Schizosaccharomyces pombe: one gene and its partners. The protein of the gene in region 1 binds, or shares a complex with, the protein of each later gene. Each region holds a gene or a part of one and is shown in the gene's direction. Other genes may lie near its edges. The genes, in order: tfb5, ssl1, tfb2 and rad15.

Evidence for each region.
Region 2: tfb5 (region 1) and ssl1 share a complex: the UniProt entries of both Schizosaccharomyces pombe proteins name them as parts of the 7-subunit TFIIH core complex.
Region 3: tfb5 (region 1) and tfb2 share a complex: the UniProt entries of both Schizosaccharomyces pombe proteins name them as parts of the 7-subunit TFIIH core complex.
Region 4: tfb5 (region 1) and rad15 share a complex: the UniProt entries of both Schizosaccharomyces pombe proteins name them as parts of the 7-subunit TFIIH core complex.

Annotation. Positions count from the first base shown.
Region 1 is NC_003423.3:2,807,954-2,811,070, forward strand, and holds tfb5 (transcription factor TFIIH complex subunit Tfb5), read left to right. Parts: upstream 1-1,920; coding exon 1,921-2,127; 3' UTR 2,128-2,586; downstream 2,587-3,117. Other genes in the region: glyceraldehyde-3-phosphate dehydrogenase Tdh1, read left to right, coding at 1-694; SPOM_SPBC32F12.12C (golgi membrane protein involved in vesicle-mediated transport), read right to left, coding at 2,796-2,996. UniProt on the Schizosaccharomyces pombe protein: Component of the general transcription and DNA repair factor IIH (TFIIH) core complex, which is involved in general and transcription-coupled nucleotide excision repair (NER) of damaged DNA and, when complexed to TFIIK, in RNA transcription by RNA polymerase II.
Region 2 is NC_003421.2:382,531-386,554, forward strand, and holds ssl1 (transcription factor TFIIH complex subunit Ssl1), read left to right. Parts: upstream 1-1,660; 5' UTR 1,661-1,942; coding exon 1,943-2,160; exon of another isoform or gene 2,161-2,290; coding exon 2,291-3,338; 3' UTR 3,339-3,517; downstream 3,518-4,024. Other genes in the region: SPOM_SPCC1682.06 (uncharacterized protein), read left to right, coding at 1-237, 283-608; meiotic pumilio family RNA-binding protein Mpf2, read right to left, coding at 3,594-4,024. UniProt on the Schizosaccharomyces pombe protein: Component of the general transcription and DNA repair factor IIH (TFIIH) core complex, which is involved in general and transcription-coupled nucleotide excision repair (NER) of damaged DNA and, when complexed to TFIIK, in RNA transcription by RNA polymerase II.
Region 3 is NC_003423.3:3,752,163-3,756,249, forward strand, and holds tfb2 (transcription factor TFIIH complex subunit Tfb2), read left to right. Parts: upstream 1-1,737; 5' UTR 1,738-1,907; coding exon 1,908-2,230; intron 2,231-2,275; coding exon 2,276-3,296; 3' UTR 3,297-3,555; downstream 3,556-4,087. Other genes in the region: ESCRT III complex subunit Did2, read left to right, coding at 199-214, 255-274, 315-392, 595-741, 784-852, 908-979, 1,032-1,232; the13 (acyl-CoA thioesterase), read left to right, coding at 3,771-4,087. UniProt on the Schizosaccharomyces pombe protein: Component of the general transcription and DNA repair factor IIH (TFIIH) core complex, which is involved in general and transcription-coupled nucleotide excision repair (NER) of damaged DNA and, when complexed to TFIIK, in RNA transcription by RNA polymerase II.
Region 4 is NC_003424.3:662,558-668,156, forward strand, and holds rad15 (transcription factor TFIIH complex subunit Rad15 ), read left to right. Parts: upstream 1-1,790; 5' UTR 1,791-2,224; coding exon 2,225-4,543; 3' UTR 4,544-5,090; downstream 5,091-5,599. Other genes in the region: MAP kinase kinase Byr1, read left to right, coding at 5,596-5,599. UniProt on the Schizosaccharomyces pombe protein: ATP-dependent 5'-3' DNA helicase, component of the general transcription and DNA repair factor IIH (TFIIH) core complex, which is involved in general and transcription-coupled nucleotide excision repair (NER) of damaged DNA and, when complexed to TFIIK, in RNA transcription by RNA polymerase II.

The DNA of each region.
Region 1 (3,117 bases):
GACTGCCTCTGCTCACTTGAAGGGTGGTGCCAAGCGTGTCATCATCTCTGCTCCTTCCAAGGACGCCCCCATGTACGTTGTCGGTGTCAACGAGGAGAAGTTCAACCCCTCTGAGAAGGTTATCTCCAACGCTTCTTGCACCACCAACTGTTTGGCTCCCCTTGCCAAGGTCATCAACGACACCTTCGGTATCGAGGAGGGTCTCATGACCACTGTCCACGCTACCACTGCCACCCAAAAGACCGTTGACGGTCCCTCCAAGAAGGACTGGCGTGGTGGTCGTGGCGCCAGCGCCAACATCATCCCCTCCTCCACTGGTGCCGCCAAGGCCGTCGGTAAGGTTATTCCCGCTCTTAACGGTAAGCTTACCGGTATGGCTTTCCGTGTCCCTACCCCCGATGTTTCCGTTGTTGACTTGACCGTCAAGTTGGCCAAGCCTACCAACTACGAGGACATCAAGGCCGCCATCAAGGCTGCCTCTGAGGGCCCCATGAAGGGTGTGTTGGGTTACACCGAGGACGCTGTTGTCTCCACTGACTTCTGCGGTGACAACCACTCCTCCATCTTCGATGCCTCTGCCGGTATCCAACTTTCTCCTCAATTCGTCAAGCTCGTCTCTTGGTACGATAACGAATGGGGTTACTCCCGCCGTGTCGTTGACTTGGTTGCCTACACTGCCGCCAAGGACAACTAACTAGCTAATCATCCCGATGCTAAGAAACGTCGGGTGGGTGCTTAAAGGCAATGCAGGAAAGTCTTTTGGAGTTGTTTTCCCCGTTTTTTCTTTATGTTAGACAAAGGAGTCGTTGTCGTTTGCAGTGCGGGAGTTTTCTTTTTTAGATTTTCGCATTTTTTTTGTGGACGCGCACTCTATGTGAATAAATAGATGGATGACTTTTTTACAAATTTCCTCTGTTCTTTGATACCCTCCTTCTCATTCATTGTTGCATATATTTTTTTTAATTTTGTTGCAGTGATGAGATGGCTGAGCGTTTGTTTTTGAACTTATAAATACTTATAAATAAATTTTATGATTTTGATAAATACTTTTTTTCGTTTTGGTTTGTGATACGTATAGTTTGCCTGTCTCCTTTTGTAAATGATCTTCTTTTGTAGTCTTGTGTAATCTCTTTTTCATTTGGTCAACTTAAGTGAATTTTTTTTTGTCAGTTTCCTTGTAGGATATTATGTCAAAGTCTTATTTATACTATATATTATTGCTTTGGTGGTGAGTCGCATTTGTGGGGACGGTGTTACTTTACTGATGGATTTAGGTAGGAGGCATCCACTGTCCCCCATTTCGCTAGCTTAAGTTTAATATGAAGATGCACTTAAGCATGAACGCCCGTTTTGATCTTTTTCACTTGTACCGCGAAGAGCTTGTTTTACTGTTTTTCCGTCTGCATCCCGAGAACTAGTTGATCTCCCAATGCACACTTTAGACTTTATTCAAACCGAAGTCGGTTTTGTAATTTAAAAATTTTTACCCACTGTAAAGTACAAACAATTCATCGCTATGTTAGTTGTGTACGCTACTAGCGCATCACATGATTACATGTTAATCAACAAAAACGAAAATGTTTATTGTCAATCTAAAAATACATATGTCCGTTAAGACAAAAGTATGAGGCTGGATGGAATGAGCAATGGTAGCAAAAGGTTTCCGAAATGGTCATATCATTTTTTCAATTTTTGCTGATCTCAAATACCTCAACTTGTTTTATTCATATAAATAATTTGTTTTTGCATATAATCATAATAATCAAATTCATTACCATCTTTAACACAACAAACTTGCATGATATTTATTCTTGTTTGCTCTTACATTCGGCATCCAACGATCATGGGTAACTTGATACCTGTGGCTTAAGGAGCTTGTAGCATGCCATGATTCTGCTGGCAGACACCAAATTTGAGGCAATGCCACGCGCACAAAAAGGCTTACTCTTGGTTGAATGTGACCCAACCGTTAAGCAATTGATTTTGAACATGGACGAACAGTCTCCTGGTATCGTTATCGAAGAGATCGATGAAGAACGATTGTTAGTAAATGAAAGTCGACTAGAACAGGTGAAAGCAGAGTTAGAACGACGCCTTGAGGAAAATACATATCAAGTTGAAGAGTAAGAAGAGATTAGTATGACGAAAGTTTTCTTTGGATGATGAACTGAATGTTTCAGTCGATGGACGAACCTAATATTGTACGATTAATGGATCATTCAATGTCAACGATCTATGATCATTTTCTCAATTTTAAATTGTAAAAAAATTTTAAAATAATGCAAAAAAGAAATTAATTCTACCTTTTATTTGGATATGGGTGAAAAGGTTGGTTTATTTTTTAATGACTTGACGTTTGTGTCAAATTACATAACAGTACCCAAAACTCGTGTACCGATGGGCAAAAATTATGAAAGGAGCCAGCTGATTTTGTATTTTTTGAAAATAAGTTTTGAATATATTGTTAACTACGCCGAGCTATTCAGTAGTTGCTTGCAAGTCTTTATTTAATTTTTAGTATTGAATGAAAGTTTATACTATTTGAATATACTATACTATCTATATAATTAATATGTATAATAAGAGAAATGTTCTTCTTTGTCTAACGATATTTTTATGCATTCCTAATTGAAACTTGGTGGTGTTTCTAGAAAGATAGTTCAGTTCATACGCGTGATAACTTTTTCAACACCGGGAACTGGAAGAACATACAACAAGGAAAAGGCATAGTTTCATGCTTGTCCTATAAACAAATGAACAAGGAAAAAGATCAATAAAGATCAATTTTGCATATTCTAAACCATAGTGCTGGGAGGTGTTTCGGTCGTGATACCTGTTCCACCAAGCGTGGAACTTGAAGTAAAAGCCTGACCTTTAATACCGGCAAAGGTGTAACATAAACCAGTAAGAGCGAGCACAATGCCGGTGGCAATAAGACTAGTAGCCATAAAGATGCAACTGAGAAAGGTTACCACGGAAAATATAAAATAGACAAGCTAAAAGAGTTAATAAACACTGTATGTAAAAGACAGCAGGAAGGCAACAAAGGAATTAAAAATATCCAGAGGCATGCTTTTTCCCCTGTGTGCCTTTCTTAAAAGAAACTATAACAACTTA
Region 2 (4,024 bases), on another chromosome or scaffold:
AAAATACAATGGCTGCACCTGCTAGATTAAGAAAGCGTTCGGAAAATGTGCGACTTACACAAGCTAGATATGCGATATTTCATATCTTCCTTCCTTTCATTCTTACTTTATTGCTTTATCATAATTTTTATAATTATTTCGATCAGGCATTGGCGGATCTTAATTCTGTGGTTAAATATGTTATTGAAACTATAGTGTTAATATTTACATACGTGATGACAGTGATTATTGTTTATTGTAAGTTTTTGAGATGATTTGAATTCATGACTAACGATTTTCTAGTTTCATTTTCGTTAATTAAATTAGCGTTTGAAGAAGCTTATGTTTATGCACCGTCTGTAGCTAAAGCGAATGAAGGTCTAGCTAAAGCGATTGCAGGCCTAGCTAAATATGTAGCTAAAGCAATTCAAGGTTTGGCTCATATTATTTTATCCTTACTGTTGTTTATTCTCGGGCTCGAAGTAATAGAACAAGATGAAGAGACTGGCGACGTTGAAATGTCGTCTATGCGAGGCCAAGCAATTACCACAGAGCCAGCAAGTGACAATACAATGGCTGAGGAAACCGATTGCAACACTTCTAAAGATGTAGAATCGGGCAGCAACTAAAAGTCATGGCTAGAGAAAAAAATCAAGGGGCTGCCAACAGTTGCGAGGGTTTTTTTTATTTCATCACTAATTTTCTTACTTTCTTGCAAAAGTCACTTTTCTCCTTTATTTCTATTCCTTGTATTATTATCTTATATGCATCATCACTTAATCATTTTCGATGACAGTCATCACTATTTTTGTCTCTGTTATAGAGCAAACACGATGTGTATTTGTGGTGCTAGGAAAATTCATTTAACTAATGAATCTGTTGTCAATTATAGATTAATCATCCTCTTTATTGTTTTACCAAATTGATATACAATCCTTAATTGTGACTTTGTAAGATTTGCGACTTAAAAAATTGTTCAATTAAGACATTACTCAAAAGATGCAAAGTAGTGATTTAACCTTTTTTTTTGTTGGATATATACGAAATAAGGATTCCATTCATCATTCTCAAGTTTTGGAGTTTTAAAAACCAGTATATACAGCAAATATAAGTTGAAATTTGTTTCTAAGACAAATAAAAACGAAAAAATCGACCTTGGAGTAGAACGAGAACTTCTTAAACAATGCGATTTCGCAATTCCTAGTCAGTAGCCAATTTCTGTTCGAGAAAATCAATTAAATGAACTCTTTCGTCCTGCAAACCATCCAACATTCAGCCTAAGCGAAAAGTAATTATTCTTCTTATGTCCATATCACTTGTAGCTTTACATAAAATATTGGCAATTACGCAGTTTGCAAATTTCTAAGTCTCTACTATATTGCAATATGCAGTTTGTACAAATAACCGAGCCATAAATAATTTTATAAAATACGATATATAACTCATCCTTAAAGAATGAGGAGTACAGATTTATTTTATATTCTTCTTTTACTTTCATAATTTCCTAAGTTTTTTCAAATAACAGAAATAGTTGTATACAAATTTCATATCACAAATCAAAGACTGATAAACACGAATTAACGCAGCATAACGAAATTCATTATTATATTTAACAAATAATGGTTGCGCTCCTTGTCCGTATTGTCTTCGTGTAAATGGTCTCTTGTTCTAGTACTTACTTAGTCTTACCATTTTACTGGTATGCCCAGGAGTCATTGCTTTTTAAAAAAATAAAACTAAAAATAATAAAAGAAAGAACTTTCGCTCATTGCATGTAAAGCAACTCGACGCGACTATTCAAATTACCAAAAGTTCACTGGGTAAAACGTGACTTGAAGAAATACATTCGCTTTGAGTTCTTTAGTCTGTAGAAACCAAGGAATAGAATTTGTGCAATATTCATTTATCTAATTATCAAATAGCGTTCTGGCATAATACCTATGCTCGGTTAAAATAACACTCAATGAATGAGAACCAAAAAAGTTTTGACTCTGACAAGTCGGAAAGCGAGGATGAACAAAAAAATGGAAGAGTTAAAGTAAGAAGCAGGAAAACTGACGATAATGAGGGTTATACTTGGGAAGGTGAATATCAGCGTTCTTGGGATATCGTACAGGAGGACGCAGAGGGTAGTTTAGTAGGCGTTATCGCTGGGCTTATTCAAAGCGGGAAACGTAAAAGGTATGGCGTATCAAAATTGGTTTTCTTATGTTCTTCATTTGTTTGTTAGTTGCCTATGTTGGGCATTTGGAAACATATTAGTCTTTTATAGCATCGATGAACGGTATACTAACTTGTCAATCTGATTTAGACTTCTTAGAGATACAACTCCGTTACAACGAGGTATTATTAGACACATGGTCTTGGTGTTAGATTTGAGCAACTCTATGGAGGAGCGTGATTTTCATCATAAGCGGTTCGACCTTCAGATAAAGTATGCTTCTGAATTTGTTCTTGAGTTTTTTGAACAAAATCCTATTTCCCAATTATCGATTATAGGCGTAATGGATGGAATCGCTCATCGGATAACTGATTTGCATGGGAATCCTCAATCGCATATTCAGAAGCTTAAATCTCTTCGAGATTGTAGTGGAAACTTCTCTCTTCAAAATGCTCTCGAAATGGCTAGAGCTTCTTTATCACACATTGCTTCCCATGGCACTAGAGAAGTCCTTATCATTTTTGGTTCCATCTTATCATCAGACCCTGGCGACATTTTCAAGACGATTGATGCTCTGGTTCATGATTCTATTCGTGTCCGTATCGTTGGTTTGGCTGCTGAAGTCGCCATTTGTAAAGAAATTTGTAATAAAACTAACTCATCTACGAAAAATGCCTACGGCGTAGTCATCAGTGAACAACATTTTCGCGAACTTCTACTCGAAAGCACAATACCTCCTGCTACTGATTCGGCTAAAACCACTGATGCTTCTTTGGTAATGATGGGATTTCCTTCTAAGGTCGTTGAGCAATTGCCAAGTCTTTGTGCTTGCCATTCAATTCCGTCTCGTGGTGGGTTTCATTGTCCTCGTTGTAAAGCAAAAGTTTGTACTTTACCGATCGAATGCCCTAGTTGTTCTCTCGTTCTAATCCTTTCAACACATCTTGCTCGATCTTATCATCATTTGTTTCCATTGAAAAACTGGAGCGAAATTCCTTGGTCCGCAAATCCAAAGTCCACTCATTGCTTTGCGTGTCAGTTACCTTTTCCGAAGCCGCCGGTTTCACCGTTTGACGAATCTACTTCATCGATGCGGTATGCATGTCCCTCGTGTAAAAATCATTTTTGTTTGGATTGCGATGTTTTTGCGCATGAACAACTTCATGAGTGTTATGGATGCCAATGCTCCGGAAATTAAAGTTTCTTTTGGTATATTAATGAACGCATTTATTTATAATAATTATTTTAAAATACTATTATGCTACTTATTCACAAATATGTAAAGAGATATATATTTCAATTTACTTATTTAAAGAGATCGTTGCTTAACTACCTTATCCGGAAGATAGTGAAAATTTGATCTATTGATGCTTCAGTAAGTGTTAGAGCTGTATCATATATAAAATAAAAACTAATTAAAATGTGGAAATGAATATATCCCTATATTTACAGATCAGAGGTCAGTATTGCAGTTGTAGTTGATTACAGAGGAAACCTGTTTTTGAGAATTCCATTTCTCGACTAAATAAGCAACCTTCTGACCGTACTTGCTTCCCCGAAGAGAAACCATGTGCTTTTTTATATGCGTAATGACAAGGTTTTTCTCAGCTGGTTGACCAAGTTGAATTATTTGCTGAATTAAATAGTTGCCATACTGATCAGATGCAATATCGATTAAAGGCTGCCTTGTTCGGTCAACTCTCGCGTTTGTAATTTGTTTTAGATATAAGGAAATGAAATTTTTTGGGCCAGACTTAATTGCTTTTTCAATGACCTTAGAGGCAAATTGGTCAATACTAAATTCCACTGCACGATTCAATAATGCATCAATGACTCTTTTCAAATCCTCTCCTTGTCCGTTTTCTACCATGTGTTGCACCACCC
Region 3 (4,087 bases), 940 kb from region 1:
TGTTTATGGTGTTTACGCTATCATAAACTAAGATACTGTCAATTTTAGACCCCACTATCTTCCTTAGTGAAGTTGTTTAATTTTGTTAAAATGCATTACGAGTAATGTATTAAGAAGTTCTAAAAATCATCAGCCTTACTAGCAGACGCTCAATCAATAGAATTAGCATTATACAGCTAGCTTACCTTTACAAACAAAATGAGCAATTTAGAGGGTAAGTAAGTAATTTTTTTGATAATTGATTAACCTGAAAGCATCTCTGTTTCAATTAAAGGTATTTTCTTAATTGAAGTTTGTTTTTAACAATGCGTTAGTTTGCTGCAAAGTCGCTGAATAAACAATCACTTAAAGCTGCGAAAGAGGAGCGTGCTGAACGGGAAAAAGTGAAAAAGGTTTGTTTGTTGTAATGATTGCTATTTCCAAGCATGTCACTATCAATGAATTTTTTTACAGCTCATCTATCAATTGCTATTGTAATTCTTGGTGGTTTTGCAGAGTCTTGGTTTTGTCGATTATTCCATCTTCATATGATTTGCTAGATAAAAATTTTTTTTTACTTTTTGGCGTTATTCATTACTAACTGTTATTACCTAGGCTATCACAAAAGGCAACTCAGAAATTGCCCGCATATATGCATCGAATGCAATTCGGAAGCAGCAAGAATCCCTTAATTTGCTCAAACTTTCTTCAAGAATAGATGCGGTTTCAAGTCGTTTACAGACTGCTGTAACTATGCGTGCTGTATGTTAGCAATTTAACGTGGCATACTTATTGACTATTTAGGTGTCGGGAAATATGGCAGGTGTCGTTCGGGGAATGGACAGAGCTATGAAAACAATGAATTTGGAGATGGTGAGTTCCTAATTCTCGTAGAATGAGTTTTTTTTCAAATGTTTCTGACCCACAGATTTCACAAGTCATGGATAAATTTGAAGCGCAATTCGATGATGTTAATGTTCAAACGGGTTATATGAATAAGGTAAGTTTCCTTGATTAATCATATTTCAAGACTAGAACTAACACTATATAAGGCTATGGGATCAGTGACTGCTGTCGATACACCCCAAGAAGATGTAGATTTATTAATGCAAACGGTAGCTGATGAAGCTGGTTTGGAATTTAACCAGAATATGAACAATAATCTTTCGGTTCCTGCTGCCAGTGTTCCTACTCCCGCCGCTCCTGTAGAAGATGACAACTTACAAGAACGTTTACGTGCTTTAAGGTCTTGATGTATAATTCCAGTCCAAATAACAAAATTTTTTTGCTGCATAAATGAAAGAGTTTAATTACGCACAATTTATTCAGCTGATACGGAAGAAGTTAATTAGATGATTAAGGATTTATATGTTTTTCACTGATATTTGAAAAACAAATTATTTTTCTCTCGAGGGTCATTTATCCCGCGGTTTATTTCAACCAAGCATGCATCTCTAATGGTCTAAATAAGTAATAGTACAGTAAATATTTAACGTAACTGTAAATATTCAGAACATTTAAAACAAATCTTTTTTTTTTTAAAACTGACTTTATTTAAAACTTAAGTATGAATGATTGTTTATATGTTTTTATCTAATCACGACAATTCGCAACTTGGGCATAAAAGTTTGAATTGTAATAAATATGTACACAGGTTAATGTAATTATCAGCAAAAAAAAATTGTTATTGTCATTGTCGGAAGCTTTGGCTTGTTATTCTAGCCTATTTAATACCAGTAATTCGACTCGCTCTTGATCACCATCCACCTTCGGTCTCGCGATGATTGCTTATCTGGCATTTATGGAAGATTGATAATCGTAAATAAGTTTATTAGTTGAGTACACTGGATTTTGTTCTATTCAGCTGAATAAAGAGAGATTACAACCGCCAATTTAAACCTTTTGAAGTAGGTTCGCAAATTGTCACCATGCAAGCAGAATTCAAGTCTAGTATCAACGACTTCCTGGAACAGTTACCAAATCATGCAAGGCTTTACCAAAAGCCAGCTGCTTGTCTTGCTGTGTTTCGTTTATTGCCAATTCTAGCTAGACAGTATGTCATGTCTATGCTTTTCAATCCTATGCCAGTAGCACTCTCAGATTTCGATTTATGGATCAAACTTTCGAGTAAAGTTTATCAATCTGAATCCTTCAACAAACTGGTTAGGATGCATATATTTCAATTTGATGGACAATATATCACTCTAAATAGTGAATTTCGCAAACAATTTATAACTGCTCTGACTGGAGGGTAAGTTTTATTGAATTTTGAGTATAAACTAATTAAGCTTTTTAGAGGAAATCACAATTCGTTTGGCGTGCCATGTACCGATGAAGACAAGCACTTGGTGACGGTTGATTTTCTTGACGCATATGCGAAAGAAACTTGGGAAACAATCTTGCACTTCATGGTAGGAACTCCGGAAGCTAAATTTCCTGGAGAAGGTGTCTTAAGTCTATTAAAGCGGGGCGGTTTAATGTCTGGTCCAAAAAACCAGCTACGTATTACCCGTGCCGGTTTTCAGTTTCTGTTACAGGATATAAATGCTCAAATTTGGACGTTACTTTTGGATTATTTAAAACTATCTGAAGACACGCATATGGATCCTGTTCAGGTTTTGCACTTTTTATTTATGCTTGGAAGTTTGGATTTGGGGAGGGCATACTCAGTGGACTTCTTAACAGATACACAACAAATCATGCTTGAAGACCTAAGAGAATATGGATTAGTTTATCAAAGAAAAATTACTTCCAAGCGTTTCTATCCAACCAGACTGGCAACAGGTCTGACAACTGATTATCGCTCATTGCATGGAAAGCAAAGTGAAAATGATGATGATAAAGGTTTTATTATTGTAGAAACAAATTACCGATTATATGCTTACACAAGCTCCCCATTACAGATTGCCATCATCGGATTGTTTGCTAACTTAAGGGCGCGTTTTTCAAATCTTGTTGTCGGTGTGATAACTCGGGATAGTATTCGTCGTGCTTTGATGAATGGAATTGCAGCGGAGCAAATTATTACATACTTGACAACTCATGCTCACCCTCAGATGAGATCGAATGTTCCTCTTTTACCTCCTACATTAGTAGATCAAATTTATTTATGGGAATTGGAAAAAAATAGACTTCGGGCTACTCCTGGAATTTTGTTTCGCGATTTTCTTACTGATTCTGGCTTCGACCAAGCAGTAGAGTACGCAAAAGAACTCGGGGTTTTGGTTTGGGACAGTTCCTTGAAAAGAATGTTTTTCATAACTACGACAGGCGCCCAGCCCATGATCGCATACTTGAAAAGACGAGCTGTCAAATGAATATTTTTTGGATGGTTCAAAAGAGAAGTGGTAATTAGAAAATATTAAATTAATCTCAAATCACTTGTAAGTAATTTACTGGTGTCAATAAACATATATATAACATAAGCTCAACATTAGCCATGTTAACTATACGCGTGTTGGATATTTATACGAAATTCAAGTTTTAATGATGCAACTCTTTAACGTTCAAATTATGAATTTCTTCTTCTCGTCATTAGAAAAAAAAAATATCCGTTATTTGAATAATCCAAACAATATTCATATTCTTGTATTTAATGTTCATTTAATTATATTACCATTTGTAATAATGATTTGGTGATATTACTATAGGCAGGCAAATGGCTTGTAAATCCTTACTAACTACAAGTATCGCTGCTGCGAGTAGCCAAGAACTGCCACAACATAACCAATTCACCTGAGGTACTTACTTTTACAGTGATTGATACCTGTTAAACGAAGTTTTAAGACACAATGGCAATTAATAGCTCTGGTACTAAGGTGCTTTCTTTCGTTCGTTCTGTTTGGCAGGATTTTGTAAATACCAATGGGTTTGATGCTCATGTAGTCAGTGATATACAAATTATAAGTGCAGTTCCAGGATTTGTAGAATGCTCTCTGAAACTGCAGAAGCATCACCTAAATCGTATGGGTAATTTGCATGGCGGTTGTATTGCAGCACTCACTGATTTGGGAGGAAGTTTAGCATTGGCCAGTCGAGGGCTTTTTATTTCTGGCGTGTCAATAGATATGAATCAAACTTTTTTACAAAGTGGTGGTACTTTAGGTTC
Region 4 (5,599 bases), on another chromosome or scaffold:
AGCCTAGCTAAATGCTTTATCAATATAAACTCGAGGGAAATATTGGTAGCATAGTATTCCTTTAACTTTTCTTTTTTTTTAAATTAATTTTGATTTCACTTTTTAGTTAACGAAAAGAATTATTTTTTATTTAATAATGGCAAGCGGAGTTGTTTCAATCCAATATATTACATTTACCAGTAAAAAAATTCGATACTTTCCCTCCACCGTGTTAAATTGCTGCATTTTTTTGCATGTTACGGGATGTAAGGAAATAATCTCAAACCAGTCATCCTTACTTTGGTTTCCTACATTTAATGAGCCATGCCATCTATCCTCTATTTCAATACCTTCCTTCCCATTTTTTTCTGCTAAATCGATATGTTGTTTTTTAAATACTCTTTGTTATTAGTACTATATATGCACTATTGATTTTGCTAGCAATGTATTGTATTATTTGTATGTTTTGTAGAAAATAACCTACTCGCCAACCCAAAAATACCAGTTGTTTCCGACAGCGTCATTTATTCATCACACTTTTCCGAAAATCGGCTTTACAAGTCCCGAGTAAAAGTGAATCAAGAAACAGCTACCATGAATTTGATCAACGATTTTGAGTAACCACAGAAAAACTCAGTATGGCCCATTACGGTTGGAATGGGTCGTTGTTATGAATGCCATTTTCTTGTTACCGAGCGGCAAACTCCAACAGTATATTGTTTTGTAGCATCGCTAATGAATGATTCGTTAAGTTTGTTTTCGTGGAATTTCATGCTCTTCTTTTATACCCGAAAGCCGGATACTCGTCGATATACTAGATGTGTAGTGAGTTAATTAATTAGCCAGAAATTAGTGAATGGGAGAGATTTTTAAAATATCAAGATTGATCATTACTAATCATCTTTCATCTTTCACAATACTTGTCATCGATGATTGATAGAGATTGCCAAGAGACATTAGGTAAAATAAAACGTAACAGTTTTGACGATCTGCTGATTTGCTTGATGTCAACCTTGGGTATGTTTTCATTAAACATGATTGCTGATGGGTTTCATAATTCGTGAAAAATTGATAAAGCACTTTTCCTTATCATCTACACATAAGTGAACAGGCAAATCAATCCGTATTGTCTCCTCAACATACGGAATGTCATTAAAACCGGTAAACTGTACTAACCGGTGATTACGGGATAATAAAAAACCACTTCATTCATTTCAAAAACTGTTGATATAGTATTCTGTATGATTTCAAGAAGATAACTCTTCGGTGACTTGCTGTTTATTGCTCACCTGGCGATTCTAATTCCTTTTATTTTTTATCCTGATACGTATGTATTTGTTTTTCCCTCTTTAGAATAATATTCATTAAGCTTGAATAAGCGGTTATTAGTTTGCAAATGATTCAGCAGCTATATGTGAGTTTGCCCTTTTTCACTTGTCTACAGAGTCGGGAATTGACTTGTAAAACAAAATAAATGGAATATTGCAAATGTATTCTTTTTGCCTTGTGTTTATTTAGGAGTAGTATTGCGGAAACTTGTTTTCAGAAAACAAAGTAGCGCTTATGCTCGGTAACTACGAAAATACGAATTTTTTTTCCAATAAACTAGTATTTATTAAGCAATTGCATCTTCCATTAACCATGTCATTTCCATCAATGTATAGTTGTATGTACACCATGTATTTACGAATATTATCCAATTTAACGTACTTTACAGTATTTTGCTTATAAATGTTTACCGTACCAACTCAGCGTTCTTCATAATCCAGTTCTATATGCACTACAAATATAAAGCAGCCACTGTTAATTTCAGGACTCATTCTTTAAGCTTGGATCGACAAGTAGTTTCTCCTGAGATTCTCACTGTAAAGTAGCTCACTTAAACCTTAGGTCAGAATTATTTCTTGGTTCGTTTTGTTTTACCCTCTTCCATCCCATGTTTATTTATTTATCTTTGTGAACTTATTCATATTTGTGTATCAGTGATTGACGACTAAATATTGAACCAAAGCAGAACCTACCTCATTCTTATAATACCCATAAAAATTTATTTCTCGCTTTATTCATTTCATTTTTATGAAGCGATTGTTAAGCGATCTTTACCCACTATTATTCATCAATGCTAGTTCATAATTCTTTTGTTTCAACTTTTTATCTTATTATTTAATTCCTAAATTTTTTTTTGGTCCAATAGGCTGTCATATACTCAAATTAATTTCCTCAAAGTCAACGGATTACACCCATAATGAAGTTCTATATTGACGATCTACCTATTCTGTTTCCTTATCCACGCATCTATCCCGAGCAGTATCAGTATATGTGTGATTTGAAACATTCTTTGGATGCGGGAGGCATTGCGCTCTTAGAAATGCCTTCGGGTACTGGAAAGACCATTTCTCTTTTGTCCCTTATTGTTTCATATCAACAACATTATCCTGAGCATCGCAAGCTCATCTATTGTTCACGTACCATGTCGGAAATTGATAAAGCATTAGCTGAATTGAAGCGTTTAATGGCGTATCGGACTTCACAGTTAGGATATGAAGAACCATTTTTGGGTCTCGGACTAACCAGTCGCAAAAATTTATGTTTACACCCTTCTGTTCGTCGTGAAAAAAATGGGAATGTGGTAGATGCCCGTTGTCGCTCACTTACGGCGGGTTTTGTGCGGGAGCAAAGATTGGCTGGTATGGATGTTCCTACTTGTGAGTTCCACGACAATTTGGAAGATCTTGAGCCACACAGCCTTATATCTAACGGTGTTTGGACCCTTGATGATATCACAGAATACGGCGAAAAAACTACACGATGCCCCTATTTTACTGTACGTCGTATGCTACCGTTTTGTAATGTTATTATTTATTCGTATCATTATTTACTAGACCCCAAAATTGCTGAACGAGTTTCTCGAGAACTCAGTAAAGATTGCATTGTTGTTTTTGATGAAGCACACAATATTGACAATGTGTGTATTGAGTCTTTAAGTATTGATTTGACAGAATCTTCTTTGAGAAAAGCTTCGAAGAGCATTTTGTCTCTTGAGCAAAAAGTCAACGAAGTAAAACAGTCTGACTCAAAAAAACTTCAGGATGAATACCAAAAGCTTGTTCGGGGCCTTCAAGATGCTAATGCCGCAAATGACGAAGACCAGTTTATGGCGAATCCCGTTTTGCCTGAGGATGTTTTAAAGGAAGCTGTTCCTGGAAATATTCGACGAGCCGAACATTTTATTGCATTTTTGAAGCGTTTTGTAGAATATTTAAAAACAAGGATGAAAGTTTTGCACGTTATTGCTGAAACACCAACTTCTTTTTTGCAACATGTTAAAGACATTACATTTATAGACAAAAAGCCGCTTCGGTTTTGCGCTGAGCGACTCACTAGTCTTGTTCGTGCCTTACAAATTTCACTAGTTGAAGATTTTCATTCTTTGCAGCAAGTAGTAGCTTTTGCGACCCTTGTTGCTACTTATGAGCGTGGATTTATCCTAATTTTGGAACCCTTTGAAACAGAAAATGCTACAGTTCCCAATCCAATATTGCGGTTTTCCTGTCTTGACGCCTCAATAGCTATTAAACCAGTTTTCGAAAGATTTAGGTCTGTGATTATCACGAGTGGTACTTTATCCCCCCTCGATATGTACCCCAAGATGTTGCAGTTTAATACTGTTATGCAGGAATCGTATGGAATGTCACTTGCACGAAACTGTTTCCTTCCTATGGTAGTTACTCGGGGTAGCGATCAAGTAGCTATTTCTTCAAAATTTGAAGCCCGTAATGATCCTAGTGTTGTTCGCAATTACGGTAATATACTGGTTGAGTTTTCGAAAATTACACCTGATGGCTTAGTCGCATTTTTTCCAAGTTATCTCTACCTTGAAAGTATTGTTTCTAGTTGGCAAAGTATGGGTATTCTAGATGAAGTCTGGAAGTATAAGTTGATTTTGGTGGAAACACCAGATCCTCATGAAACAACTCTCGCCTTAGAGACTTACCGGGCTGCTTGCAGCAATGGCCGTGGAGCAGTATTGCTGTCAGTCGCTAGAGGAAAAGTCTCAGAAGGAGTGGATTTTGATCATCATTATGGTAGAGCAGTAATCATGTTTGGTATTCCGTATCAGTATACTGAGAGTCGTGTTTTAAAAGCACGGTTAGAATTTCTGAGGGATACGTATCAAATTCGGGAAGCAGATTTCTTAACATTTGATGCCATGCGGCATGCTGCCCAATGTTTAGGTCGCGTTTTGCGTGGAAAAGATGATCATGGAATTATGGTGTTAGCAGATAAACGATATGGTCGGTCTGATAAGCGTACAAAATTACCTAAATGGATTCAACAGTATATAACCGAAGGCGCTACAAATTTAAGCACTGATATGTCCCTCGCTTTGGCGAAAAAATTTTTACGAACTATGGCACAGCCTTTCACTGCGTCTGATCAGGAAGGGATTTCTTGGTGGAGTCTTGATGATTTGTTGATTCATCAGAAGAAAGCATTGAAGTCTGCGGCTATAGAACAATCCAAACATGAGGATGAGATGGATATTGATGTGGTTGAAACTTAATAGAAGCCATTTGTAAAATACTTTGATTCTAATCATCTTTACTAAGGCAATCCAAAACTCATGAACACAGCGATGAAGATATTTGGAAGCGAATGGCTAACTTTTTTGTAGGTGTGGACAATGTATGTATCAACTTGTATTCGAGAGTTGTATAGTGGACATTTCAATCGTCATCACGATACGCATGCTACTTACGAATTGTTTTAAGATCGCAGAGCAGAGAAAAAATATTATTTACACTCAGTTGGCAATTAATTTGCGAGTCGCTAAATTCGAAGTACTTTAAAATTTTTTTAGAGACTGTGTTCAAATAAAATCGGTTTCAGTTGTTGTAATGCTTCTTAAATTTTCCATCCCATCAATAACAATCCAGCGTTTCAAAGAGTGATTATTGGCAATTTCATGCTGCTATGGAAATTAAGCTTACATTAAGCGAGCTAGTTAAAATACGTGATGCAGTAATTGTAAGCCTAGTTATATAAACAAAACATCTGTTTATCATTTAGATACATAAAACAAAAGTTTACATATTCATAATATATTCTCATAATCTAAAAAATTTCCTTGATAGTTTTATGTCGATAAAATTAGTCTCCCATACTTAGTTCTAAATAAATGAACGTTTTGGGGTTGTACAACTGATTCATTGCTGTATTCTATGTAATATATAAATTTCTTGAAAATAAAAAATCTTTTGGTTTTACGGATTCACGGTTGGCTTATACGTAATTGCCAAGCACATATAAGATCAATGATGGTTTCTTTACCAAACTACTGTATAAAAAAATTACTCTAGCACAAAAAGGATACCGCTTTCAGGAATTCTTAAATATAGAAAAAAAAATAAGTGTAGCTTATTGCAAGGGTTGTCTCTAGTCACGTTGGGGTAGTCAGAATCCTGTCATAACTACTGCTTTGTATCTTTGATTAGCAAAGTAACTTATTGAATACAGTCAGCTGTCAAATTACAGAAAAAGAAGCAACTTTAATAGTATCTTAAATGATATAATCTTCGATACAGGTTTCTTTGAGAATTTGGCCAATAGCTAGAAATGT